Linked DNA regions of Canis lupus familiaris. The protein of the gene in region 1 interacts with the protein of each later gene in a biochemical or structural test. Links are inferred from orthologs where the notes say so. Each region holds a gene or a part of one and is shown in the gene's direction. Other genes may lie near its edges. The genes, in order: KHDRBS1, NCK1, YES1, LYN, FGR, RASA1 and FNBP4.

Region 1 (3,500 bases):
CCTTTGATGCTTTCAGCCAGTCTCTATCTGAAATTAGCACATTCATCTGAACTATTTGGTCTTATGTTGTTTTTGCTTTATGCAGACTTGGATATTTGCATTTAGTTACCAGAACAAAAACTGAATTGTGTTTGTCTTATTCAGAAATTGAGAAGATTCAGAAAGGAGATTCAAAAAAGGACGATGAGGAGAATTACTTGGATTTATTTTCTCATAAGAACATGAAGCTGAAGGAGCGGGTACTGATACCTGTCAAGCAGTATCCCAAGGTAAGGCCAGACGTGCCTCACTTGGTTGTCTTTGTAGGTGTGAGAGCCACGGGCTATAATAAAGACTTCTGGAAATTGTGATGCATTAGGTCCTTGAGCCTGTGAAGCTTCTCTTCCATACTTGTAGTACTTGTTTTTGGTAGTTGAAACATCTGAGTCTGTAAGTAGCCGTATACCTATATCTAGGAAGGAAATATCAACTTTTTATTACCAAAAAGAGTTTCTTTCTCAAACATTCAGGCTCCAAGTTCAAAGAAAAAAACTGAAGAGTTGCTCTCTGTCAAAAGATTGATGTGGGGAAAAAAAAAGATTGATAAAATCTCAATACAGGGAATATAGCACAAATCTTTGACTAGATGAAGTTAATTTTATTTCTTAATCAGTGTTTTACTTTCAAATAAATACTTTCTTGTTTTTCTCCTCCTCCTCCTTTTTTCCTTTTTTTAAAGAAAAGAAATTAGTTATATTTAGTTTACCAAACAAGTACTATAAAAGAATGCCATATGTCTGTTCTGTAGTCACTGCCTTAAAAATATTTGTTTGTTGAAGCAGTAAGGGTTGCAGTGTGATAATTTGGAAAGAGCACTAGACTACATCTGGAAACCCAAGTTCAAGTCTAGGAACTGCTGCTTTCTATATGTATAATCTTAGACTATTCATTTTTTTCAGTGTATCCTCAGCATATCCTTTTCAGTAAAATAGGAATGGTAATATGCACCCTATTTTGCAGGGTTGTAGATCAAATGAGACAGTAATACATGTGGAAGTGTTTTATAGGAACATACGTATTTAGAAATCTATTTTTCTTTTCTGTCAGTTCAATTTTGTGGGGAAGATCCTTGGACCACAAGGAAATACAATCAAAAGACTGCAAGAAGAGACAGGTGCAAAGATCTCTGTGCTGGGCAAGGGCTCAATGAGAGACAAAGCCAAGGTAAGCTCACATCAGTGAGGCAAAAAGACAATGCCTCCTGGAAGCCAGTACTTATAAAAATACAGAATGTGAATCCCTTAAATTTGTGTTGGGTGTAAGAGATTACAGACCTAGTTAATTTACTTGTTTGGCAACGCTGGAAGAGGCTAGGTGTGCCCTAGTGGTTTTTTTTTTTTTTCCTGACTTTTGACTGCCTCGTAATAGAAGCAGCAGTAACAACTTTCACATTTGTAAGCTTGTCTCTGAAAACTTGGAAGGGAAGCTGTATATGCTAAAACTTATCCAGACTAAAGACACTAAAATGTGAACAGCACATTCCCTTTCCAGTAACATTGAAAAATGAGAGCAGTAATGTTGTGAGTACAGGTGAATCTGAGGATTAGTTGTCTGGGTTTTTTTAGAGCCAGTTGGAATGTAAAGAACACTAAAAGAAAGTATTTCAAAAGGAACCATAGTAATCCTGACAACAGAACCTAATGCTAATTTTTTTTCCCATGTCGTAGCCCATGAGCTTTGTATTCTTTATAAGCACTCAAAAAAAAAAAAAAAGAAAGAAAGAAAGAAAATTCTACCAAAACAGAATAGTCTTAGCATTCTAGGGTCAGCTTTTTAGATGAGATATATCAGGTACAGTCTAAGAACTTAGTCATTCAGGGCTCCTTTTATGCAGCCTAAACTGATGAACATTGTTTTCTTTTATCCACTCACATTTCTCACTAGATGAATACACTTAGGGCTGAAGTATGTTATTCTAGCTAATGAGATTTTCTTCACTCTATCCTGACTTCTTTCCTCCCCTAGAACATCCCAGACAATAAAAAGAACTGGTACTGGGACATCTGGCTGACTTAGTCACTAGAATATGTGACTCTTGATCTCAGGGTCCTCAGTTCAAGCCCCACAATGAGGGTAGAGATTACTTAATGAATAAAAAAAGTTTAGGGGCACCTGGGTGATTGATTCGGTTAAGCATCTGACTCGGTTTCAGCTCATGTCATAATCTCAGGGTTGTGAGATCGAGCCCTGCTTTGGGCTCCTCACTGGGCATGGAGCCTGTTTAAGATTCCCTCTCCGTCTCCCTCTGTCCCCCCACCCCCAAAATAAATAGTATTTTTTTTTTTTAGTGTAAAAAAAAAATGAAGAGCCTGTGCTCAACAGCTCTACCTAGGATTGATTGATTGATTGATTGATTTAAAAGATTTTATTTATTCATGAGAGACAGAGAGAGAGGCAGAAACATAGGCAGAGAAGCAGGCTCCATGCAGAGAACCCAGTGTGGGACTCGATTCTGGGACTCCAGGATCATGCCCTGGGCTGAAGGCAGACACTCAACCGCTGAGCCACCCAGGCATCCCTCTACGTGGAATTTAAAAACAAATGCTTGGCAATGAATGAATGCATGCATGCTTGGCAAACAGCTTATATCTGAATGAAGACTGGAATTAAGTTTCTCTCTTCTACACCTAGTAAGAGCTGCAGTGAATATACCATGGACTCAATACAGTGGTTAACTTTTAGTAGCAGACCAAATTACAGGTTTAGCAGGTTGTGTGAATTACTATCCTCTAGACTTTGTTTGCTTTTGTCTTACACTTTGCTATTTTTCTTAGATATTTAATTTCTTTCTCTTTGAGCTGGAAATAACTATCATTTTCTCCCATTCTATGTGATGTGATGTTTTTCTGCATTTTTCCATAGGAGGAAGAGCTGCGCAAAGGTGGAGACCCCAAATATGCCCACTTGAATATGGATCTGCATGTGTTTATTGAAGTCTTTGGACCCCCATGTGAGGCTTACGCTCTTATGGCCCATGCTATGGAGGAAGTCAAGAAGTTTCTAGTACCAGTAAGGAAATCCACATCCTATATCTTTGAGCAAAAGAGAACTGGGATCTTGTACTGTTGCTAATAAGGCAGGGGTTCTTAATCATGATCTCTGCATAACCTGAAATTGCATACCAAATTCTGTATTTATGTTCATTTTTCTGAGGTAGTGTGTTACTTATACCTAGTTCTCAAAGCACTGTGCCCCAAAGCTACTCTACCCCTCCTTGTCTAATGTGGTTTTGGTTATATACCAGGATCTATTGTTAGTATCTTGGGTCTGCAGTGTGTCTGGCGTTTTAACATCTGATTAACAAAGATTTAACAGTCTTCACTGAATTAAGTGTGTTGGTACTAGTGTGGAACCAGGAGGTTATGATAAGAAGAAGGCTAAGATAGTCGTAAACTCCTTGTACTCAGGGGTTAATGTTCTAGACTTTGGAGAGTGTAGAAGATAACAGCAAGAGGCTTCTA
Region 2 (4,228 bases), on another chromosome or scaffold:
TTAGTAAAACTATGAAACCATAAAAATGGAATAATAGTTATGTAGGCTCTTTTGATTACTGTTTAGAATATTAGAATTTGGTCCTATTCATTTAACTGGTCTTTATTTTTCCTTTTAAAAGGATACCACTACTTTTCCAGTTTTCAGATCATTAGTATTGGCTTTGTTTCTGTGTATGTAGTTCTATAAATGTGAATGTGTGATTGTAGAAAAGATTTAAAGTCAGAAGAAAACTTATCTGGTGTGTGTATGTGCACTTGCGTATAGCGTGTATATGTTTATAAAAGGGAGGGAAGAAAAGAGAGGTAATTGAACTGCTTGATATGAAGTTCAGGAAATGAGGCCTGTACATAACCCCTCAGGAAGAGCAGGATCAATGATAGGGAACAGTGGTGGGATTTGTTTTCTGTTAGATGCCTGACTTGATCTATCTTTCTAGGACAAGCAGTGAGCAAGAAGCATTAGGAAATGAGTGACCTTAGAGCAGGTGATAAGAGTAACCATAGGTATAGGATGTTTCCAAGAAGCCCACTATTTGAAACTTTGTCAGTAACTATATAAAACTTTTAGACTGTTCAGAAAAGTGTTTAGGTTAAAAAAAACAACAAAAAGTAAGAAAGTAGCTTGGTTACAAAACACTGTTTTCTTGGTGGGTAATTGAGCATGGATATTAGCCAACATGCACCATCATTTTTAGCAGTAGGATTTTTTTTTTTAAGATTTTATTTATTCATGAGAAACAGAGAATGGCAGACATTGGCAGAAGGAGAAACAGGCTCCCTGCGGGGAGCCCAATGCAGGACTCAGTCCTGAGACCCCAGGATCAGGCCCTGAGCTGAAGGGATGCTCAACCACTGAGCCACCCAAGCATCCCTAGAATTTTTAAAGTAAAGATTTCAAACAGGATATTTTGTTTGACATGAACAATGTTTTTTAAACATTTGAATTTGTTACCAGTATTTAAATATTGGGAAATTTACTATAAAAAGTCAGGTGACAGACTTCCTTTTAAAATTGGAAGACCTGGGCAGCCCCGGGGTGCAGCGGTTTAGCGCCGCCTGCAGCACGGGGTGTGATCCTGGAGACCCGGGATCCAGTCCCGTGTCAGGCTTCCTGCATGGAGCCTGCTTCTCCCTCTGCCTGTGTCTCTACTATCTCTCTCCCCCCCCCTCCCTCCCTCCCCCTGAATGAATGAATGAATGAATGAATAAATAAATCTTTTTTTTAAATAAATAAATAAAAATAAAATTGGAAGGCCTGCCAACCTTGCCTGTATTTCTACAAGACAACAATCACCACTAAGTGGCCACTTTCTTTAAATTGGCCATGCACTGTTCCTTCTCTCTGTCCACCCTGTCATTTGTTTATATGTCTTTTGACCCTTGTAGGCATTTGAGTTTATGACCTCTCATTAGTGTCTATTGTCTTTAAGAATTCAGCCGAATATCTGAGCTAGTCTATGAGATAGCTACTGTTAGCTCACATTAACTCATGTTTTCTCATGTGTTTCTCCAGTTGTCTGAAGGAGAGAAGATAGCTCTTGTGCTTCAGATGTTAAACTAAAGGATTTGCCATGGGTGTTAGAGCATATTATTTAAGAGACTTTGGAGTCTGGCTGCTTGGGTTTGCATCCTGGCTGTCTTGTTAACTACATGGATGATTTTGAGCAACTTAGCTTTTCTTGGCCTTGATTTTGTCATCTCTAAAAAGGGTTGGTTAGAGGTGTAAAGGAGATAATCTATGTAAATAGCATAGTGCCTAGTACTTAGCTAAGATTTGAGCACTTTATTATTATTAGTGTAATATAAAAATGCTAATAGATATCTTTCAAAATGTTTACCCTATGTATTTTTTTCTCTTTTAGCCAAATGATTTCTCTGTATCACTAAAAGCACAAGGGAAAAACAAGCATTTTAAAGTCCAACTAAAAGAGACTGTCTACTGCATTGGGCAGCGTAAATTCAGCACCATGGAAGAACTTGTAGAACATTACAAAAAGGCACCAATTTTTACAAGTGAACAAGGAGAAAAACTGTATCTTATCAAGCATTTGTCATGATAATGCTGACCAGAAGTGACTGCTATAAAGCTATAACTCATCATGTAATTGAAGACTGAGAAAATGTCAATCCAATCATATTTGATTGGAAATTGATTTCTGACTCTACATGAGAATTGAGTGTGATACATAAGTATTTTTATTATAACTCAGCCCATACATATATACTACATATGCAAAGCATCTGCATAAAGCAGTTCCTTATCCTTGGTCTTCTGTTTTATTGTTTCTTGTCTGTTTTTCTCTTTGCTTCTAATATTAAGGTTTTATATTTTCTAAAGATGATGCAGATCGAAAGTCTTTACATGGAAGAATTTATTGGTTTTTTTCTTTATTTCCTTGTAAGGGCACCATATTTAGGTCACTTCTGCAATGGTTTCTCTTCATATAAAATTATTATATCAGTATATGGCATATGCTAAAATAAATTTCTTGGACAATGTTCTTTTCTGTGACTAAATAGCAATAATAAATGGATAATTAGAAATTATTTTCAGGTATTTGTTGCAAGCCATTGTAAATATCAAGTATGTTGTGTCTGCCATTTTTAAAAAATATTCATTGTCTTCATTGTAAAGCAAAACAAATGGGACATAGGTTTGAAAACGTATCTTGTACACTTTTAATTTGCAACTGTTGGAAACAAAAATCTAAACTTCTAGGACTTTTTTGTGGGGTTGCTTCTTACCTGGTTATTTAAGAGAATAAAGCAGTCTCTGAGATATTTAGCTTTTTAAACTATAAATGGATGCCCTAGTGTTATGTTTTTTTTTTTCCCCTAGTGTTATTTTGACAAAGCATCTTGTATTGGGGCATGTTGTATCTGTGTCAGTGTGAAAAAAGCTGCAGCCAAATGTTGGGGAAGTAGGAGGCAGTGAGATACTTGTCTCCCCTCCCCAAACATGTCTATCAGTATTAGGTATAGTATTTCTGCTATTTTCTTTTCCTCCTTTCAGCTTTGAGTTTTGTTGACTGAGACACTAAAATTGATCATACCTGAGGAAAAGATGGGATGTGCCAAATGGTTAGAGAAGGTTATTTTTGAAATCTTACTTTTGGAGAGTTTCTATTGTTTTTGTTTACTAAACAGAAGCTTGGGTGTATGAATGAGAGGCTACTATAGAGTATTGAATCTACTTCTGCAGGTCACAGAAGAAAACAGCTGTATTTTGTGGTCTTAGCTATCCTCTCCGACATAATTTGTTCTGGAATTTAAATTTAAGCAAAATTACTTTCAGTATTAGGAAATCTTATGGTATTTTTAAAAATTTCCCCAGTGCGGCCTAAGCAAATGAATGTTTCTATTCTTTAATGTGTTATAGATAAGTATTTAATACACCAAAATTACTGATGTTAAAATTGAAATTGTCTAATTCCTGAGGTTTTTGGATTATTTTTTTTAATTATTTTAAGTAATTTTTATTCTTTAACTCTTAAAATCATTTGAAGACTTACATTGCCACTGGGTGGCAGCCCTGGCTTCTCCCACTAAGCAATAGGAGTCAGCAAATACAATTAAAGCATTGATGTACAATTTTTTATTTTCACCACATCTACTTTTAAAGCCTTTTAGTTCATATTTCATTATCTTTGTCAGTCTCTCTTTGTTTATTGAGATGATTATTAGTAGACAATTGTAATAGAAATAAAAGTCATGTGCTTACCTGTTTTTGCTGTAAAATCACTTGAATATAAGTTGAAGAAAATAGTTTCAAAGTGTTATAAATATGATTAGGTAGTAAACACCTTTTTATTTGATTTTAAACAGCTGATGATGCTTTCTTTTTCTCCATTTTTTGTTTTTCCCCCCAGTCTTCTTTTTAAAAAGATATTTCTTAAAAAAAAAAAAGAAGCAATTAATACTTTGTAATCACAATGTAATTGATGCATTAATCATGTATCACATGAGCTATATTTATAGCAAACCCCACTGAACTTATGTTAAGGATTTTAAGAAAGCAGCTAGGAATGGAGAAGACTGGAAGTAGATTGCACATTCTCTGACATAATTAGATTTATAATAACTAGAGAGTTCCCAGATAGGCCACATGACCTGCACCTGCATATAACAAGCACTGCATATACTCATCTTCCACAAGGCAAAAGACTTGGGTATCTGATTGTTCAACAAAACAAAGCTTGAACAGCATCCAGGAGGTGAGGCAGGCA
Region 3 (4,267 bases), on another chromosome or scaffold:
CCATGCAGGGAGTCCGACGCGGGACTCGATCCCGGGTCCCTGGGATCACACCCCGGGCTGAAGGTGGCGCTAAACTGCTGGGCCACCCGGGCTGCCCATCTTATTTTCTATTAAAAACAAACAAACAAAAAAAAGCGGACTATAAACCTGCATGAAAATGTTTAATCCCCAATACAGTTAAGGGGAAGTGAAATTCTAGTAGCTAAATCAAATTAAAGCACCATGCCACACTATGGGTACCTTTTTGGCAACGGGAACGCCTAGGCTCCCCTTTGCTTCATTTTAGTGAGCTGAAGAAGAAAAAAATCCAAACCTTTATATTCATTTCCTAAGTTCCTAGAATGCCAGAATTCTGACACATACGATTGTATTATTTATTTGTCAAAGAGGACTCCGAATCTCACTGAAAACCGCAAAGGAAACCAACAGACCCACACGAATGGTCCCGACAGCCCCACCGAGGAGGAAGTGCAGGGGGGAGTCAGGCTTCGGGTCGCACAGCGCGGCAGTGGCTTCGGCAGAAGAGCCTGCGGGCTCGGTCTGTTCCTTCCGGACCCTCTCCCTGTCCTCCAGCCTCCGGCCGCCGAGCACACGGGAAAGGTGCCCGGATTCCCCGAGCCGAGTTCTCGCCGGGGCTGCCGCACTTTCGGGGGCGCAGCCGTCCGGCAGGGTATGCACACCTGTCCCCCCGGGGGAGGCTGCCGGGGCATCAGCCGAGGCCACCGCTCCCCGGAGCTCGCCAGGAGAACCCGGCTCCGGTTCCCCTCCCGGCAAGGCTGGCTCGACCAACAGTCAACAGGAAGCTCCCGCGCTGGGACAGGATCCCCGGCTCGGAAGGAGGCCAGACGCGAGCGTCTCTGGACGGCGACCAGGCCGGCGAAGAGCGCCTAGTGACGCGCCCCCGGGCTCACGCGGCGGGGCTGAGGTCTCCCCACCAGCGACGAGGGGTGCGGAAGCCTCGTCCCAGAAGGCACGCACTCAAGCCCGTCCTCCCCACGCACACAAAGCCCGAAGCCCTCGGCACGACGGCGCGGGGCAAAGGGAACCCAGAAAGAGGGGGCGGGAGCCTCCCTCACTCCACCTCCCGGGGCCGGTAGTCCGCGGCCGCAGCGGCCGCGCTCCGCCTCCTCACGCCCCCTCAGCCCGCGCCGCCTCGGGAATCCGCCCCGGACCCCGCCGCCATGTTGGGTCCGGATAAGTGACCCGGACTCGCGGCCGACCGGGACGGCGTGCGGGGGGGGGGGGAGGGGGACGGCCCGCGGCCCACAGCCGCCGAGCGCGCCGGCGCCGGAAGGCGGGGGGCGCGGCGTGAGTTCCGGTGAGCGGGCCGGCCGCGCGCGCAGGTAGCCGCCCCCCCGCCCCCGCCCCCGCCCCCGCCCCCGCCCCCGCCCCGCCCCCGCCGCGGAGGGGCGGAGCCGGGAGTGAGGGCGGGCGCCGCGCGGAGTGGAGGTGGAGAGTGAGGCCGAAGGGTGGGGGAGCCCGGGAATTCCCTCCTCCTGAAGCGGCGAGTGCGGGGCGGCTGTGCCGTCGTCGCTGCGGCCGGGCGCTCGGGACGAGGAGGTGGAGGAGGGAGAGGGCCCCGCGGGCCTCGCCTCCGCCCACCGCCCCCTCCTCGCCGCCCCGGGCCGCGGTAGCGGCGACTCATGAGAGCGCGGCTGGAGGGCAGGTAAGGACCCGGCTGGGCCCCCCCGGGCGGAGGCGGCCGACCCCGGCCCGGGCAGCGCTAGGCCCCGGCGCCCGCCCGCCCGCGCGCCCCCGCGCCCGCGCCCCGAGGCGCCGGCGCTCCCCGCCCCGGCAGGCTCGGAGTCGGGAAGTTGGGGAGAAAGTTCTCCCCTCCCCCGTCCCGGCCGGCCCGGCGGGCGTGTCTCCTTCCCGGCGCTACCTGCTCGCCCCCCTGACTCGGTCTCCGCCCCGTCCCGTCGTTCCCGGGCCCGCCCAGGTCCGACCGCAGGTCCTGGGAGCGGTGCGCTACCTCCCGGCGGTGCCCGGGGGCGAGGTCGCTGGTGGCTCCCGCGGCCGCCGGCGGGGCCGGGAGCCGCAGCCCGGTTCTGTCCCGGAGCCGGAGGGTCCCCGTGGTAAGACGCCGGGTGGCAACTGTGCTGGGAGAGCGGACGTGGGCGTGTGTGGGGGCGAGGGGGGGAGCCTCTCGCTTTGCTTGGTTTGATTGAAAACCGCAACATGTTTAAAGTTTTCCTTTGTTTTGGGTTGGGGGTTGGGAAGGATGCCATTCAGCGTCCGCTCTTACAGTGTTCTGCCGCTCCACCTCCCATTGGGTTCGCTTCTCTGTCCACATGGTGCAGGAAATTTTGGTTTAAAGTGTGTTTTCCTTCTTGGTAATCGCTTCCAGCTTTTGCTTCATTGGGCATGGGGTTAGCGTCGTTTTCGGAAGCCCTTTGGAAACCAAGTCCGGTGTAGGGATGGATGGCTTTGATTTTTGCCTTCTGATGAGTGGCAAATAAGTCCAGGGCAGGGACTGCTTTAATTTTTGTTTTGTGGTGGGTGGGACACAGCATAGTTCGGATTTGGTTGAATTACTTTCTGCGTGATTAGTTGAAACAGGCGTGGAATAACCCACGGTCTAGCAATCTATAAATCGTTAAGGAAACGAGACGTCTCTAGTGGAATCGCAACTTGATGTTCATGCCATTAGGTACGTGTGTTTCATGGTGTGCTTTCACATACATGATTTGACATGTACATGCATAAGATTGTGGTATACGTGTGTCTTCATAACTCTAGGATTGCGGTGCCAACGGTATCTCGATAATTCTGAGTATTTGTGAAACATCCTGGTAAATGTCTAAAGTTACGGACTAAGGAAGATACTACTAAATGGGTACATGTGACTGTGTACTTAAAGCATAGTACCTGGTGAATCTAATAACTAGGGCAGTGGCTCACGGTGGACAGAAAACATTTTGAATGGGCAGGTAACGAAGGAGTGTCATGTAGGAGAACGAGGATTTTGTGTGCGTCACACGTATATATATATATATTTCGTACATTCTGTAAGAAAGTTTTATTTCACTTCAGTCATACATCTGCTTTGTTTTACTGATATGTGAGACCACTGTCATCGTTGACATTTAAGAAAAGGAAGTCTAATTATTGTAAATTTTGGACATTACCCAAACCTCAGTGGCGATTTTGAATGCTGGTTGACCAATTCATAGGGTCTTAAGATTGAAAAATAAAACGAAACACTTGCCTTTGATTCGAATCTAAATACAAGACCATTCGTATCCATGTTTCCAGAATAAAAGAAAAAAAAGCTTTTAAAATATGTACTCTCGTATAACCACCATAACGTTATAATAGCTTTTAATTTTGCAGTATGTTTTTGCTGACTTCATAAACCACAAAATTGACTCCTTTCTAGTCTACTGAAAGCGAAATTATGACTTTGACCCGTCTTCCTGCGATAGGTGGAATTTGTCTTATGACTGAAGTATAATATTAATATATGGGTGGAGTTTTCTTTTTTTTTAATTCAGGAAAATCTCAAGCTAAAAAAAATCAATGTCCATGCAAATAGATCTCCTTCATGATATGTAATGTTGAAAGAATAAATGTTACAGGCTAATAGCAACAATGCAGTATTAAGTGAAATATTACCAACCTGTGGTATAAGGTTTATTTATACAAAGTCCAAATTTGCATCTTTTTAGGCAGTAAATTTGTTAACGTGAGTAATTTTTCTTTATAAACGTGTTTAACTCGATGTAGTGTTCAGTGTAGTTGTCATTTATCCTTTTAGCATTATATTAAAAAGAGGTACAAACTTAGTTACAAAATAGGTCAGAAGAATGTAAGGTACAGCATAGGGAATATAGTCAATATTCTTGTAATAACTTTGTATGGTGACAGGTGGTAATTAGACTTAGGAGGGAATTGTTTCATAATATAGAAAATATCAAATCACTATGATGTACAGTTGAAGCTCGTAGGATGTTGTATGTCATTTGTACTTCAATTTTAAAAAGCACCTAATATCAAAAAGCACTACTAAGCTCTGGTATCTGGGAATACAAACTTGGGAAATAAAAGTATAATTAAAAAAAAAAAACCTGCAAGGAAGTGATTTCTGTACAAGTAAAGATATGGGAGGTGGGAGGAAGTTGTGATTGGGACCCAGATTCTGTAGTGGTTACAAAGTTTTAACCTGCTGGTGGTTCCAATGGTTTTTTTTTTTTTTTTTTTTTTTTTTAAGAAGACTGTGTAATGTACTATATAAGGTGCTTGGGTAAAGAACTTAACATTTAGTGAC
Region 4 (3,500 bases), on another chromosome or scaffold:
ATGACCGGAGCCAAAGGCAGACGCTTAACCAACTGAGCCACCCAGGTACCCGTGTTATCTCTTTTTAGCTATTGCAAATAATCCTGCTCTGAACATGGCTGTATCATTTCTTAGATATAGAGCTGGAATTAAGTATAGTGGTAGGGTCTGTATGATTGGAGATAACATATACTGTATCCAGTGTGTGTAATATGTTACTTACTGCAGACCATGTGGGCTCTGAGCCCCCACTAGGCAGGAAACACACTCATTATTCATTATGTGCCTGATAAAGACTTGTTAAAATGTTACCATTGATGGATTCTTGAAAATTTTCCCTTTCCTCCTTCATCTTTAGATCCAGAGGAGCAAGGAGACATCGTGGTAGCCTTGTACCCCTATGATGGCATCCATCCAGATGACTTGTCTTTCAAGAAAGGAGAGAAAATGAAAGTCCTGGAGGAGTAAGTACACCTATGCACACTGTGCCTGCTGTCCCTTTTCTCTAGCCACTGAGTCCTGTCCCCTTCGATTTGCTTCCAGTAGCCCAGCAATAACCAGCCTCGCTGCCTCCTTGCTGCTAGCAGGGCTTTGGAAGTATAAGGAATATGGCCAAAGGGATCTTCCCGCCCTCTTGTCCTGACTCACAGACCTGTGGCTCAGACCACAGGATCTCAGTACTGAGAATATGGATTTCCCCCTAGTCTTGCGCACATTGTCATCTTGGCCTGCCAACCAGGATTGGAGGAGGGAGCCCCCTTAGTAAGTACAAGGTGCTAAGTGGTTAAGAACAGTTATCGCTTACTGGCTGAATGTGAACCTGGACCTAATCCTGGCCCTGCCTCTTGAGAGCTGTGTGATCTTGACGAGTCACTTCAACTCTATACCTGAGTTTCTTCACTTATGAAATGGAAACGGCAGTACCTCTGTCGCCGGGGTTCATATGAGAATGTTGTGTGCATGTGTGTATGCAAATAGTATAGGCATCCAGTAGGCCACAGCCTGGTGTCAGTTGTGGTTGTCCTTCAAGTCTGACAGTCCAGGAACCTGACTGTGTGGGGGAATTTGAGGATCATAGTTGAGGCTCATGAGGACCCCTCCACTCCTGTCTCCTTCCCTGGCCCTGGCCTCCTCCTTGACTCCATGCTGAGGACAAAAACGTGGGGATGAGCCTACCTGCTTGGAATTGCTTTATGGTTTCTATTTCTTATCACCAAGCATCTCCCTATGGAAATGGGATGTTTTAACAAAGGTGTTTATAACGTCAGAGCTGTGGTTCACTGTTCTCTTGACTCCTATTTCTGTAAGGATCCTACGGCATTTCTTAGACATCCTGGGAGAGATTACAAACATGTTGCTTCTGCAAGATAGGAACCATTTTCACCAACTCTTGTGTGTGCAGCACTGAGCACAGTGACCCAGTTGTGAGGCTGTTTTCCTTTGCCTGAGTCTCTACACATATTTTTATTTCAGCAAAAGGAGTGAATTTTCCCACTGGATTCTGGGGTTCCAGGGATCTTCCCACCCTCCCTCACCCCCTAAAAACAGACACCTTAAAACAACTGCTATTGCAGCTCTTGACTCTTTAGATCCAAACATTTATTTTTTTAAAGATTTCATTTTTTTTTAGAGTAACCCCTACCTACACTCAACATAAGGCTCAAACCCACAAGCCCGAGATCAAGAGTCACATGCTCTACCCACAGAACCAGCCAGATGCCCCTGCATACAAAAACTTTTTGATGTCTCTTTCTATTCCAGACTTGGAGAATGGTGGAAAGCTAAATCTCTTTCAACAAAGAGAGAAGGGTTCATCCCCAGCAACTATGTAGCCAAAGTGAACACGTTGGAAACAGAAGAGTGAGTCCTTACAGTTGCCATCTTTGATGGTTTTGTTTGCTGCACTGGCTTTCTTTTGCATTCCTTATCTTTTTCCTTCCCTGGAGCATAACATCTATGAAATGTGAAAATGTCTTCTCAGGTGGTTTTTCAAGGATATAACCAGGAAAGATGCAGAACGGCAGCTTCTGGCGCCAGGGAACAGTGCTGGAGCTTTTCTTATCAGAGAAAGCGAAACATTAAAAGGTAGGAAGTGTTTTAAGTCCTCTTATAAATCACTACTTAGGAAATCATTCTTAGAAATTTAGCATAGATTTCTTATTTAAAAAAAAAAAAAAGGGACGCCTTGGGTGACTCAGTGGTTGAGTGTCTGCTTTCGGCTCAGGGCATGATCCCGGGGTCACGGGATGGAGACCACATGGGGCTGCTTCTCCCTCTGCCAGTGTGTCTGCCTCTCTCTCTGTGTCTCTCATGAATAGATAAATAAAATCTTAAAAAAAAAAAAAAAAAAGAGAGATGTGCTGGTAGTGAAAGTGTTATAGTTTGATAACAATAAACTCAAATGATTAGTTTTGCTACTAAAAGTGACATAGAAAGCAGACCTAATTACGGCCATTTCCTACCAAGCTTTATGTTTGCTGAGCCTCCTACACTATGATTAAGAGTAAATCTTGAAATTTTTAAGAGGAAGAAAATCAAAATAACTTTCCAATTCAGCAAAATAATAATAATAATAAATCTAGCCTGAAGAAGGAATGTGACATGTTGGTAAGCTACAGAGCAACAACATGGTAGCTTCATGTGTCAGGTAGACTTTTTACAGGACTTAAAATTATGCACTACATACATACTTGATTTACATTTTGCATATTTTATGGCCAAAAATGTGGACTACAGTGTTGGGTAAAGCAGATCTTACTTGTAAAATACAAGCATAATCTTTACTTGTGTTTTTCCCCCCACAGGAAGCTACTCTCTTTCCGTCAGAGATTATGACCCTGTGCATGGTGATGTTATTAAGCACTACAAAATTAGAAGTCTGGACAATGGGGGATATTACATCTCTCCACGAATCACTTTTCCTTGTATCAGCGACATGATTAAACATTACCAAAGTAAGTGAAAATTGAAGGTTGGCCAAGACAAAACAGATTTTTTGTGAACCGGAGGGGGTCAAGCACTTTTTTAGATTAAAATTCTTCTACCTCATACTTCTTTTGGATGAAGTTGGAGGATCATATTCTGAAATTGATTCTAAGTTAATCTATAATTAACTATGCATCTACAGTCAGATTTGATCTTAGTGAATAATTATCCCAGCTCTTCCCACCTCATCTATGCTGTTTGACAGTTAATGTTCTAACACTGTGAAGTGGAAGATGAATATTCTTTTCACGTAGTGCATATTTTTATAACACATCTTTAAATATTTGGCATCAGAATGCAGATTTGCAGCTCTGTGTCTTTGTATATATATGTGTATATGTCTGGGTAAAAGAAGACAGAAATAACAAGAAGAAAATATTTACAAGTGGCAATTCAATGGTCCTCTGTCTCCAGTGCCACGGGTTTCAGCCCTGTGAAGCCAAACCCATGGGTAGTCTTTATGTTCATTCCCTGTGGGGTTAAAGTCGATTGTAGGGGGCAGCTGCAGGAACTGTTTACTTCTGCTCCTCACTCCG
Region 5 (3,500 bases), about 3.6 Mb from region 1:
GTGCTTTTTCAAGTGAAGAGAAGGTGAGAGATATAACAGAATGTTGATGGCAAGTTAGGGCTTAGAACAGTTTTTTTGGGGGGAAGGAAGAAATGTGGGCATATGTAGAGGTTGGTGGGATGGAGAGGCTGCAGGTGGGGGCTGGTTTGTAGGGGAGAGGTGTCCCTGAGCGAAGGGAAGTGGTTGGGGTCCTGAGCTCAGAGGAGGTGAGGCCTTCATCCAGAGAAAGTGGTAGGAGTCATGGAAAAGAGAAGGGTGATGATGCAGAAGGTGGGAGGTGTGGGAGGTTCATGCTTGTGTCCGCATCTTAGAAGCAGTGTCACGAAGCTCTGAGAGACACTCATTGCAGTGCCATGGTTAAGAGCAGCGTTGTGGTTAAGACTGCAGGCCATTGAGCGACAACTGGTGTTCCTATTCTGGCCAACACAGCTTAAGAGCGTGTGGCCTTGGGCAAGTTGCTTAACCACTAGGTATCTCAATTTCCTCATCTGTCTAATGGAGGTTAATAATAGGACCTACCTCACAACGTTGTTATAAGAACTAAATGAATATAAGGTGTTTTAAAGCAGAGCATGAAAAAAAAAAATAAAGCAGAGCATGACATAAAATAAGTACTGTTATTATTAAATTAATTATTAAGGAGGTAACTACTCCCATGGGTATGGGTGGGGGCACGGCTTTGAAAAAACTTGCGAATGTGTCCTGTCTACATAGGCCTTCTACAGTTCCTCTTTCCCCATCCTGCCTGCCCACCTGGACACTCTACTTGCCAGTACCTTCCTGTCCCCCAAATTATGCCCAGTACCCAGGTGTAAACTGGTTTATTTATTTATTTATTTTAAATATTTTATTTAGTTATTTGAGAGAGAGAGAGTGCACACATGCACACACATGCATGCACACACACACACACACATAAGAGCTAGTGAGGAGGGGGTCGGGTAGCTAGTGGTGAGAAGCAGAGTGAGAGAGGGAGAAACAGACTCCTCACTGAGCAGGAAGTGACACAGGGTTCAAGCTGAGGACCTTCCAGATCATGACCTGAGCTGAAGGCAGCCAGGCGCCCCAGATTGGCCAATTTTGTAATCAAAGGACATCTGAGTCTTCTATGGCACTTGTGGGGCCACTCTGGTTCTCCCAGTGTATTTTCACAGTTGATTTAAGGCTACAGTTCAGTCTTAGGAAAAATATCCAAGACAAAGAAGGAATGCCTGACATCTGAGGTTGAAATCTAGCTTTATAAGAATATCCAAGTTAAAGAGAGTGGAGGAAAACCAGCAGTCAGAGCCAGGCAGGAGCAGTCATGAAGAGGGGAAGAGAAGCAGGAAAGGCTGTTGTTTGGAAGTCATAGGAGGAAAGGATTTGGGGGTAGGGATGGATGGGGAGAAGATTGCCTAGGTGGTGGGAAAAGAACTAGGCTGGGAAGTAAAGCATTTCACGTAGACCTCATCAACCAGTCCTGAGGGAAGGTCACTTCTCCTCTCTGAGCCTCAAGTTCCACATCTGCAAAATGAGCCCTTGGAGGAGTGGTAGTGAGATGCATTCAGAAACTGGTAGCACCCTGATGAGGTCACTAGTGACTGGGGTCCTAGTGATTTTAGTTGAAGGGAAACCCAGAGAGTGGAGAGAAGTCTAACCTTTACTGGGTGGCTACCACAAGCCAAGCATTCCACATTCCTGGTCTCTGTGCACCTCACGGGCCGGGCTGTGAAGCAGGTGTATGAGCCCCATTTCAAGAGTGAGGAAATTGAATCTTGGCTAGTGAGGTGGTTTTTCCCCAGGAGGCTGAGTTGTGGGTTGAACTGGGTGTATCTGGGTGTATCTGACTCTTGCTGGCCCTTCCCAACAGGTGGTACTTTGGAAAGATCGGGAGGAAGGATGCTGAGAGGCAGCTGCTCTCCCCTGGGAACCCCCGGGGGGCCTTTCTTATTCGTGAGAGTGAGACTACCAAAGGTGGGGGCCTGGGAAGGGGCAAATGGGAAGCTCAGCTGTTAGGGTGGGGCTAGGAACAGTGGTGAGGGGCTTGGGTCATGGGGGAGTGGGCAGATGGGACAGGGGTGGAGGTTCAGAGATTTGACTAGGACCGAGTTCAAGGGATGTGGCCATCCAAGTTCTGAGTCCCCAGGCATTTGGGTGTCTCAGGCTCCAAAATGATGAGCGAGGAGGAAAGCAGACTCGAAAACAACCCTTGCCCACAGGTGCCTACTCCCTGTCCATCCGGGATTGGGACCAGACCAGAGGCGACCATGTGAAGCATTACAAAATTCGCAAACTGGACACGGGCGGCTACTACATCACCACACGGGCCCAGTTCCACTCGGTGCAGGAGCTGGTACAGCATTACATGGGTGAGGGCTGGCTTCCAGGGCTGGTGTGTGCTTTGGGTCCCTGAACTAACCCACTAAGAATTAGGGCCAGAGAAGGAAAGGGGTTCCCAAAGCAGTAGTGGCTGGAGCAAAACTGGAAACCAAGGGTTTGGGTTCCCAGCCCAGGATCCTGCTCTGTAGGATTCCAGAGGGAACAGGTGTGAGACTGTCCACGTCAGAAGGGCGCCCCCTAATGTCTAGCTGGGCAGGAAGCCAAATAGACCTGACTTGGAGGATGGGCTGTAGGGTTGAGAGGAAGCTGGGAATCAATGCCCAGGTTTCTGCTTTAGTTATACCAAAGGTGAGGTGCAGGGAAGGGCGAGGGCCTCATGTCCACACCACTGTCTCGAATCCCCAACTCATTTCTACCTGTCAGAATCCCACCTTAACCCTGAAGGCCCAGCTGGAGGCCACCTCCTATGGAGAGGACTCCAAACCCTGCAGGGGATCATCCTTCCTTCCCTGGGCACCAACATGTTCACCTACTCAGTGGGTCAGGTTGCCTTTGGCCCCGGCGTGTGACCTCCCCTGTGGCCTAGTTCCTTTCCACTGATGGGGGAGGGGAGCAGGGGAAGGGCTGCGCCTGGGACAGGATGAGGAATGGGTGGGGCGTCCTGGCCTGCCCACTACCTGCAACAGCCCCCCACCCCCCACCCCCGCCAGAGGTGAACGACGGGCTCTGCCACCTGCTCTCGGTGGCCTGCACCACCATGAAGCCGCAGACAATGGGCCTGGCCAAGGATGCTTGGGAGATTAGCCGCAGCTCCATCGCGCTCGAGCGCCGGCTGGGCACCGGCTGCTTCGGGGACGTGTGGCTGGGTACGGAGGTCCCGGGGGCGGGGCGCGGGCTTGGGACAACCGGGAGCCGGTGCTGACGAACCACGACCACCTGGCAGGCATGTGGAACGGCAGCACGAAGGTGGCGGTGAAGACGCTGAAGCCGGGAACCATGTCCCCGAAGGCCTTCCTGGCGGAGGCGCAGATCATGAAGCTGCTGCGGCACGACAAGCTGGTGCAGCTGTACGCCGTGGTGTCGGAGGAGCCCATCTACATCGTGACCGAGTTCATGTGCCACGGTGAGGGGCGGGGTCAGGAGGCGGAGTCCGGGGGTGTTCAGAGAGGTGTCTCTGGGGG
Region 6 (4,047 bases), on another chromosome or scaffold:
GCGGTTTAGCGCCTGCCTTCGGCCCAGGGCGTGACCCCGGGGTCCTGGGATCGAGTCCTGCATCGGGCTCCCTGCGTGGAGCCTGCTGCTCCCTCTGCCTGTGTGTCTCTGTCTCTCATGAGTGAACAAATAAAACCTTAAAAATAAAATAAAATAAAACACGGAATAGTCATATAGTGATTTCTAGTATGCGACGAAAATCAAACAAATCGATAGCCCTGCCACTCCCCCTCGGCCCCGGGCCCCGGCAGCGCCGCTTCCTAAAGGCGTTATTTTCCACCAGCAGGAAGCAGGGCCCCGGCTCCGCGGCATCTTCCTTGCCGTCTTCCTCGGCGCTGCCCCCTCCCCTGCAGCGTCCCCGCCGCGTTCGCGGAGCCGGGCCCCCCAGCCCTCGGCCCGCCCCTCCGCGGCGCACGCTGACCCGGGGCGGGGCGGGGCGGGGACGGGGCGGGCGCCCCCCCGCGGCCGGTCCCCCGCACCGCGCGCCCCCGCCGCTTCCTTCCCTCGGGCCCAGCAGCGCGGCCGCCCCCGCGCCAGGGCCGCGCCTGCGCACAAGCCGCCCCGGCCCTGCTCCCCGCCCTTCCTCCCGCGGCCGGCTCCTCCTCCGGCGCCCCGCCTTCCTTTCTCTCTCTCTCTCTCTCTCTCCCTCTCTCTCTAGTCGGTTTCCGCGAGCGCTCCAGGTCGGCAGCCGCTCGGCCCGCTTCCCCGCCCCCCGCCCCTTCCTCTCCTCTCCTCTCCTCTCCTCTCCTCTCCTCTCCCCACCCCTCCCGCCTCCAGCCCCGCGGAGGATGCAGCGGCCGCCGCGGCCCGGGCCCCAGCAGCGGCACCGGCGGTGGCTGCGGTGGGGGTGGCCGGAACTGGGGTGGTGAAGCGGCGGCGGCGGCCGAGCGGGCGGCAGCCGCGCCAGCCGCTTCCTCTGTGCTTCCCTTCCTCTCTGGCGCGGCCAGGAAGTTTCTCACTAGTGTGCATGTGTGTGAGTGTGGGTGTGCAGGCTGAAGGTGCGGGTTGGCGTTGGTGCCGGCGGTAGGTTTTTTGCCCACTCGGCTTCCCGTAACCCGGGCCGCTCCGGAGCCTGGGCTGTGGCCCGAGGAGGGGGCGCGGCGGCGGGCTCGGTCCTTTTGTTGTCGTTTCCTCCGCCCGGGGAGCCGCCAGGGGGACGCGCCCGGGTGGGGCGGCTGGGAGCCCGGGCCTGCTGGCCCCCGGGGCTCCCGGGCGAGCGTAGAGCGGAGAGCGGAGCGGGCTTCAACATGATGGCGGCCGAGGGCGGCAGCGAGGAGGGCGGCCCGGGGGCGGCGGGGGCGGCGGGGGGCGGCGCGGCCGCGGGCTCGAGCGCCTGCCCGGCGGCGTGCAGGGTGAGGATGCCCGGCGCGCTGCCCGTGCCAGCCGTCGCCTGCTCCGGGCTGCCGGAGGCCGGCGGGGCCGCGCTGGGCGCCGGGCCGGGGGCGGGAGCCGTGGGGGGAGCCGGACTGTCAGGGGGAGGGGCCGGGGCCGGGGCCGCCGGGGCCGGGGGAGAGCCGGCCCTCGCCAAGGGCACCGCTTCGCTGGCTGCGGACACCTTCGGGGCGGGCGGCGCCTTCCCCCCGCTGCCGCCGCCGCCTCAGCTGCCCGCCCTGGGCGCCGCCGGCCTGGGAACCGTGGACGAAGGGGACTCCCTGGATGGACCCGAATACGAGGAGGAAGAGGTGGCCATCCCCCTGACCGCGCCTCCGACTAACCAGTAAGTGCACGCAGCCGTCCCGGGCCCGGGGACGCCGGCTCCTGGGCACAAGTGCGAACCCCTGGGACCTGCAGCTTTTCTTGCAGTTGCGATCCGTTGGTGAAAAAGTTTGGAGCCTTCGGGGTTGGCGTGCGTCGGGACTTGATTGGATCGCTCCTCTTCCCTGAGGGCGTGCACGCTGCCTTCGGCGTCTTTTGCATCTTTCTGGTTAGACCCTGGGAAGAAGTGAAGTTTTTGAGCTAGGAAAGCATGGAGAGTGGGGGGGGAGGGGGGGGAGGGGGGGCATGTGTATCCATCGGGAACCGGATACGGTGCTGCCTTTTCCAAGCCGAGGTTGCGTCCCCGGGGCTCAGCTGAGCTTGCAGCTGCCCGGGCCGTAGAGTCTCTCTCAGCCTGTGCGTGCATTCCCTGTTGAAGTCAGGTTATCCTTAGTCATAAGGCTTTGGGTATGCAAGTATTCCAAGGAGTATGGTATTGATGACCATTTTAAACATGCACCGGTCAGAAGGCTTTGCCTTTGTGGTGCTGTGCATCCCCAGCCTTTCGGAGGCAGAGCGATGCAGAAAAGTCTTCGGGTCTCTCCTGAAGATGTGGGTCGGCGAGAAAGGAAAGGAGTTCTGCGAATTACAGGTGTGGTGAAGGGTCTCTCTCCTCTTACGGGGTCTGTGACGTAGGCCGTGAAATTCCCATTTATTGATAACAGCCTGATCTTTTTATAGTTGAGGCTTTGTAAGCACAGTTCTCAAGTAAAATTGTCAATACTTCAATACTTTGTTGGTGGCCAGTGCAGTGTTCCATTTGGCAATCAGTTGCGACGGTATATTGCAGGGCATTTAGGGCAAATGGCTTTTTTCACACGGTGAGTACCTTCCCCTTGTTCCCTCCATAAGTGAACATAGGTGTGTGTTTGTAAAGGTGGACCTTGATGAGAGGAGAGTGTTACTGGGAAGGGGTAATAGATGGCAAAACCGTTCTTACGGATCCTTCACATCAGTTATTATCTGACCTTTAGAATTTCGACAGCCTTGGTGTATCAGAGGAAAAAATATTTGGTTCATATGATGACATTCACTCTGGACAATTGAAAGTATTTGTTTGTTTTGGATAAGCTTTGGAGGATTTAGAAAGGACTTAGAAAATGATTAGAAAAAGATTCTGTGATAATCCATTCTTAACCTAGGGCTACATCTTTTGATATTTAAGGGGGAAAGGTAAAAGTAGCCTGATTTGTGTCAGCCGTGGTATACTGCTCAGTAAGAGTTTAATTTTTTTGTCTAACTTTATTCCAACTTACCATGTTATGTGTTTGTTTTATAGACCTCTGAAGGTGTTCTGGGAGTGTGAAAAATTTGAATTTTACAGCACTGTTTACACACCTTCAAGCCTTTTTGAAAGAATCAGTAAATATTTAAGCGCTCACTACATCACTCCATGCTCAGCACTAGGGTTATAATAAAGTGCAACTTTTCATACTGAAAGAAGGCAGTCTTTTGCCAGTGTTTGTAACTGAGTTATATTAGGCATATTTGTATATTGTAGTTATAAATTTTTTTAAAAAAGTGATTTTGTGGAATGGTTTTAGGTTCACAGCAAAACTGGGCAGAAAATATAGTGTTCCCATTAGATTTTTCAGGATAAACATGAAGGAGTATTTGGAAAAATTTTTAGAAGTCTATTGTGTGAGGTTTCCATCATCATTAATATATATTTGGGAATAAAAATAATACTTGCATGACTGTATATATGAGAATCGTAAATGTTCTGAAAAGTATCCTCCATTTCAAGTATGTTTTTTAAATTTGTCACTGAGGAGTACAAATTACCCTCTTTTCTTTATCTTAGATATCAAACCAGAGTCACTGGAGGCAATACAGTGTAGTGTTTAAGGGTGCAAATTCTGAAGTTAGACAAGATTTGGGTTGGAATCCTGACTCTACCACTTATAACTGTGTGATCTTGGAAAGGTCAGTTTCCCCATCTGTAGAATGGGGATAATAATGGTACCTCCGTCATAGCATCGTTTTTAAGATTTAATGAGAACCCTGAAGTATTCAGTCAGCACAGTGCTTGGCACATAGTAAGTGTTCAGTAAATAGTATGCCAAAGTAACAGTAATATTTTATTGCCATTAAATTGCCTACTGATTCTATTGGTACAGGGAACTCCCTCACTGATAGTTACTTTAGGCAATGGTTCGTACTCCAGAGGTCTAGCTACCATGGTTAGCTATATTAAGAATTATGACTTCATAAAGGTTTCCATCAGGTTAAGTAGGTTTAGAGATGAAGTTCAGATCTTTTCTATGAATTCCTTTTTTTAATTTTTTTTTA
Region 7 (4,145 bases), on another chromosome or scaffold:
TCAGGCCTCACCCCACCAAACCTCACACACATTCCAAAACGTCATCAACATCATCTGGGTTATACGCTTTCTTGATCTCGGGGTTGTAAGTTTGAGCTGCACTTAGGTGTAGATATGACTTAAACATAAAATCTTTTTAATTTTTTTATACATTTTATTTATTTATTCATGAGACACACACACACACACACACACACACACACACACACACAGCAGAGACACAGGCAGAGGGAGGTTCCATGCCGGGAGTCCGACGTGGGACTCGATCCCCAGGTCCTCAGGATCACACCCTGAGCCAAAGACAGGTGCTAAACCACTGAGCCATCGGGGCTGCCTTTAAACATAAAATCTTAAGACAAAACAAAACAAAAAGCCCACACACACGTCCCGGGGGATCATCTATACATTATGGATCATGATTACCTACCGTACAAGGTTGTGGGGAGAATAAAATACAATCGTACTTGTGAAAGTGCTTAGTGCCTCACACATAATAAGTGCCCAGTAAATGTTAGATAGTATTGGTGTGCTCCAGTAAGACCTGAGCTGCTGGGGATATAAAAATAAATACCACCCAATTTCTTAGGCTAAGGAAGAGGGAAACGGATACAGGGGTAGGACGTGAGCCCTGGGGAGGAGCTCAGCACCGAGATGCAAGGTTGCCATAACGCCTGCCCCAGGTCTTGAGGAACGCAGTTTTGCCATGTGATGCCGCACGGTAGGTCGCGATCGACTGGCCGGCTCCGGGGTAGGGAAGGAGACAAGGAGGGGCGAGGGCTCAAGGAACGTAAACCTCAAACATCAAATGTGTGCTCTAAGAAAAAAAACTCACAAAAGCATAAAAGACCCACTATTTTATTTAGTGTTCAACGTCAAACCCAAAGTAAGCCACAATAATCAGGACAAAACTGCGGGAAGGGCCCGAAAAGCAGCAAAGCTTCCCGATGGACAAAAACAAAACAAATCAAAAAACAACGAACAGCCAGCAGAGAAGAAGGGCAAGATGGAGGACAAGAGGATAAAGAAAAAGACTCCGCAGAAGACGCATGGGTGGAGTCCGACGTAATGGAAAGTCATTCTAACGCAGGCCCTTCCGCGCTATTGGCTTGACGCTCACTCTTTTCCCTTTTCCATTGGCTTCTGGTTCCTTCAATAGATCAAAATAGCCAATCGTCTAGCAGCGTGGGTAAAGCCCGCCCTTCCCCTCTCGGGGGGCGGAGCCAGACTAGCGTAAAGAGCCCAAGGCGCTTGCGCGGGCGCGCGCTCCGCCGGTTAAAAGCGGATTCTCTCAGGAGGCGGTGTCGCGGTGCATGAATATTGATTACGCAGCGCCGCGCGGAGCGCCCGCCCCTCTCGGCTGGCCGACGCTCGCGGCTCGCGCTCGGGCTCGCGATGGGGAAGAAGTCCCGGGCGGTACCCGGCCGCAGGCCCATCCTGCAGCTCTCTCCGCCGGGCCCCCGGAGCAGCACGCCGGGCAGGGATCCGGAGCCGGAACCCGACACGGAACCGGACTCGACGGCGGCGGCGGCGCCGAGCCAGCCAGCTTCGGCGGCACCACCGGCCACAACGACGACGGCCACGGTGACTACGGCCGCCGCGGCCCCAGAAGACTCGCCTTCAGAAGGTAAAGGTGCGCAAGGGGCCCCGACACTCAGGTGGGGCGTCCAAAACTCGAGCTCGGGACTTGCGGCCTACGGCAGGGCCCTGGCACGAAGAGAAACCCGGGCGCGCGGGCTGCCTCCGCACCGCGGCCTGCTGCGTGGGGCCCGAGGGGAGGACGGCTGGGGGCCTCAGGGCGGCGGAAGGGGCCGGCGGCGCCATCTCTGGCGCAGGGCCGGGCCTGGCTTCCCGAGTCTCCTCAGCGTGCACGCTAGGGTCTGCGTGACTTAGGGGGTGGTGGTGAGAGGACGAGCTTTGCATCCGAGGCCCGGTGACCGGGAGCCTGGCCTTTTCCACACGTCCTGCGCTTTCCCCTTCGTGAAGAAGGATGAGTTCGGGAGGGAGCAAACTCATTTTATTAATGCCGGCCAAGGCGAACGTAGCTCCGAATTGGCAGGTACCCCTCAAATTCCGGGAGAAGTAGAACTGGAGGGTTCCGAAGTACTTGTTTGTTTCTCCCCGGAACCGTATTTGGATTAAGAGCAGCTGTTCAGTGCTCCTTCGAGGGCCAGATGCCCGAGAAGTCGGCGACCGTTTCCGGCGCTATCCCTGTGGTGTTGTAAAGGCCCGATCGGAGCCCGGAGATGTATTCTGTGCGTGTGTATTTTTAAAAATTCGAATTACTTCAGATGTACTTTGATGTATCGTAGTCCTGTTCTTAATGTTAAAGCCACTAGTCACGTGGAAGAGTCTAGCTCTCCGCTTCTTTATCATCTCCCCCACTATTTGGGTCAGTGATGGATTTACGCACCCTGTTTTCAAATTGGTGAAATTTAGACTTGAAAGGTCAAATCGAAGATTATGTTGTTATCTTGTTTTCTCTAGTCCACCGGCAGATTAGTTTTCTTTTGTTCCTTTTTAAAAATCCAGATGAACAGGAAGTGGTGGTGGAGGTTCCCAGAGTTCAGAATCCTCCTAAACCAGTCATGACCACCAGACCTACAGCCGTGAAAGCAACAGGTACAGTTTTGTTTTTTCCTCCCATCTTTTCTCCAAAGTCTCTCATAAGGATCAAATTGGGCTTTTATAAAAAGTATTTCATTGAACGCTTCAGTGTGGTTAAATTACACATTCTCCCATAAAATGGAAATGTAAAATTTCCGAGAATAAAAATAGCTTTTTTTTTTTTTTTTTTTTGTCTGAGGGCTTGCTGGTATATACACTTTAACCAACGTAAAATTTGTTGCTTTTTTCCCTGTACCCAAAATACTTCGTGCTACTTCTCTTCTAATGCTATTTGGTGGTTTTCTGGCTCCCCACTATCTTGGTGTTCCATGGATATCTTTCATTCTGTGCATTTTTAAATATTTATTTATTTATTTATTTATTTATTTATTTATTTATTTATTTATTTATTTATTTATTATTTTTTAAAGATTATATTTATTTATTCATAGAGACACAGCTAGAGAGAGAGGCAGAGACACAGGCAGAGGGAGAAGCAGGCACCATGCAGGGAGCCTGATGTGGGACTCCATCCCGGGTCTCCAGGATCACACCCCGGGCTGCAGGCGGCGCTAAACCGCTGCGCCACCGGGGCTGCCCATGTGCATTTCTTTATAGATCAAAATATGTTTGATACTAAATATCTTATAACTGATAATTCATTCTTTTTTTTTAATATTTTATTTATTTATTCATGAGAGACAGAGAAAGAGGCAGAGACACAGGCAGAGGGAGAAGCAGTCTCCAATGCAGGGAGCCTGATGTGGGACTCGACCCTGGGACTCCAGGATCACGACCTGAGCTGAAGGCGGCACTAAACCGCTGAGCCACCCAGGCTGCCCCTGATAATTGATTCTTTTCAGTTTGGAGTTCTCTCTGTGCTATAGGACACCTGAAAAAATAGATGCTCGTTCTACTCTTCCATTTGCTGCTTTTAAAAAATTGTTAAAATATGCTTTTATAATATAGTAGAGCAAGAGTATCTAATGCTTTCATGAAGAAGAATATTATGGTAATAGCATGTGAAACTCTCCAAGAAAAATTTCAGAGTAAGCTCTGAAATTAGATCAATAGACTACTATGATACTTTTATCCTATTGAATGTTAATAGTTTCTGTTACCAGAAGAAATAAAACCACTGTTCAAATGTTAACAGTTGCTAGAAATATGACAGTTACTGTTTGAAGCTTATCAAGAAAGGTATACACCTAAGAAATTATTTTCTATCTATGTAGTTAGTTGATTTGCAGGTTGTGCTTATTGAGGTTTGTGCAGTCAACACTCCTCAAAAAAAAAAAAAAAAAAACAAAACATCAGCAGCAGCTAAGGACTATGGCTCTGAAGAATGTCCTTGCTTCCTCTGGTTTTAAGTAGTAACAACATTTCAATAGTAGTCTGGGATAGGTCCTGTAAGTCTTTTATTCATTTATTTATTTTTAGTTAAACAACTTTACATAATAGTTATGACTTTATCATTCTGTTCCTTATCAATGATGGAATGTCCCTTATCAGTGATAGACTAATTCATGCTTGTTCATTAT

The links.
Region 2: the proteins of KHDRBS1 (region 1) and NCK1 form a complex in vitro, tested with the Homo sapiens proteins (3 studies listed by BioGRID, with this or other methods). The link is inferred for Canis lupus familiaris from reciprocal best matches to the Homo sapiens genes KHDRBS1 and NCK1.
Region 3: of the proteins of KHDRBS1 (region 1) and YES1, one has a biochemical effect on the other in vitro, tested with the Homo sapiens proteins (2 studies listed by BioGRID, with this or other methods). The link is inferred for Canis lupus familiaris from reciprocal best matches to the Homo sapiens genes KHDRBS1 and YES1.
Region 4: the proteins of KHDRBS1 (region 1) and LYN form a complex in vitro, tested with the Homo sapiens proteins (3 studies listed by BioGRID and IntAct, with this or other methods). The link is inferred for Canis lupus familiaris from reciprocal best matches to the Homo sapiens genes KHDRBS1 and LYN.
Region 5: of the proteins of KHDRBS1 (region 1) and FGR, one has a biochemical effect on the other in vitro, tested with the Homo sapiens proteins (2 studies listed by BioGRID, with this or other methods). The link is inferred for Canis lupus familiaris from reciprocal best matches to the Homo sapiens genes KHDRBS1 and FGR.
Region 6: the proteins of KHDRBS1 (region 1) and RASA1 form a complex in vitro, tested with the Homo sapiens proteins (2 studies listed by BioGRID). The link is inferred for Canis lupus familiaris from reciprocal best matches to the Homo sapiens genes KHDRBS1 and RASA1.
Region 7: the proteins of KHDRBS1 (region 1) and FNBP4 form a complex in vitro, tested with the Homo sapiens proteins (2 studies listed by BioGRID and IntAct, with this or other methods). The link is inferred for Canis lupus familiaris from reciprocal best matches to the Homo sapiens genes KHDRBS1 and FNBP4.

The regions. Positions count from the first base shown.
Region 1 is NC_049223.1:68,529,417-68,532,916, reverse strand, and holds part of KHDRBS1 (KH domain-containing, RNA-binding, signal transduction-associated protein 1), read left to right. Parts: intron 1-144; coding exon 145-269; exon of another isoform or gene 270-451; intron 452-1,086; coding exon 1,087-1,203; intron 1,204-2,901; coding exon 2,902-3,048; intron 3,049-3,500. UniProt on the Homo sapiens protein: Recruited and tyrosine phosphorylated by several receptor systems, for example the T-cell, leptin and insulin receptors. Once phosphorylated, functions as an adapter protein in signal transduction cascades by binding to SH2 and SH3 domain-containing proteins.
Region 2 is NC_049244.1:33,892,866-33,897,093, forward strand, and holds the end of NCK1 (cytoplasmic protein NCK1), read left to right. Parts: intron 1-1,864; coding exon 1,865-2,059; 3' UTR 2,060-3,728; downstream 3,729-4,228. UniProt on the Homo sapiens protein: Adapter protein which associates with tyrosine-phosphorylated growth factor receptors, such as KDR and PDGFRB, or their cellular substrates. Maintains low levels of EIF2S1 phosphorylation by promoting its dephosphorylation by PP1.
Region 3 is NC_049228.1:67,651,986-67,656,252, reverse strand, and holds the start of YES1 (tyrosine-protein kinase Yes), read left to right. Parts: upstream 1-1,467; 5' UTR 1,468-1,666; intron 1,667-4,267. UniProt on the Homo sapiens protein: Non-receptor protein tyrosine kinase that is involved in the regulation of cell growth and survival, apoptosis, cell-cell adhesion, cytoskeleton remodeling, and differentiation.
Region 4 is NC_049250.1:7,889,951-7,893,450, forward strand, and holds part of LYN (tyrosine-protein kinase Lyn), read left to right. Parts: intron 1-337; coding exon 338-443; intron 444-1,740; coding exon 1,741-1,839; intron 1,840-1,960; coding exon 1,961-2,064; intron 2,065-2,783; coding exon 2,784-2,933; intron 2,934-3,500. UniProt on the Homo sapiens protein: Non-receptor tyrosine-protein kinase that transmits signals from cell surface receptors and plays an important role in the regulation of innate and adaptive immune responses, hematopoiesis, responses to growth factors and cytokines, integrin signaling, but also responses to DNA damage and genotoxic agents.
Region 5 is NC_049223.1:72,080,235-72,083,734, forward strand, and holds part of FGR (tyrosine-protein kinase Fgr), read left to right. Parts: intron 1-1,849; coding exon 1,850-1,953; intron 1,954-2,198; coding exon 2,199-2,348; intron 2,349-3,029; coding exon 3,030-3,185; intron 3,186-3,262; coding exon 3,263-3,442; intron 3,443-3,500. UniProt on the Homo sapiens protein: Non-receptor tyrosine-protein kinase that transmits signals from cell surface receptors devoid of kinase activity and contributes to the regulation of immune responses, including neutrophil, monocyte, macrophage and mast cell functions, cytoskeleton remodeling in response to extracellular stimuli, phagocytosis, cell adhesion and migration.
Region 6 is NC_049224.1:21,307,750-21,311,796, reverse strand, and holds the start of RASA1 (ras GTPase-activating protein 1), read left to right. Parts: upstream 1-1,247; coding exon 1,248-1,717; intron 1,718-4,047. UniProt on the Homo sapiens protein: Inhibitory regulator of the Ras-cyclic AMP pathway. Stimulates the GTPase of normal but not oncogenic Ras p21; this stimulation may be further increased in the presence of NCK1.
Region 7 is NC_049239.1:42,338,908-42,343,052, forward strand, and holds the start of FNBP4 (formin-binding protein 4), read left to right. Parts: upstream 1-1,345; 5' UTR 1,346-1,392; coding exon 1,393-1,630; intron 1,631-2,529; coding exon 2,530-2,619; intron 2,620-4,145.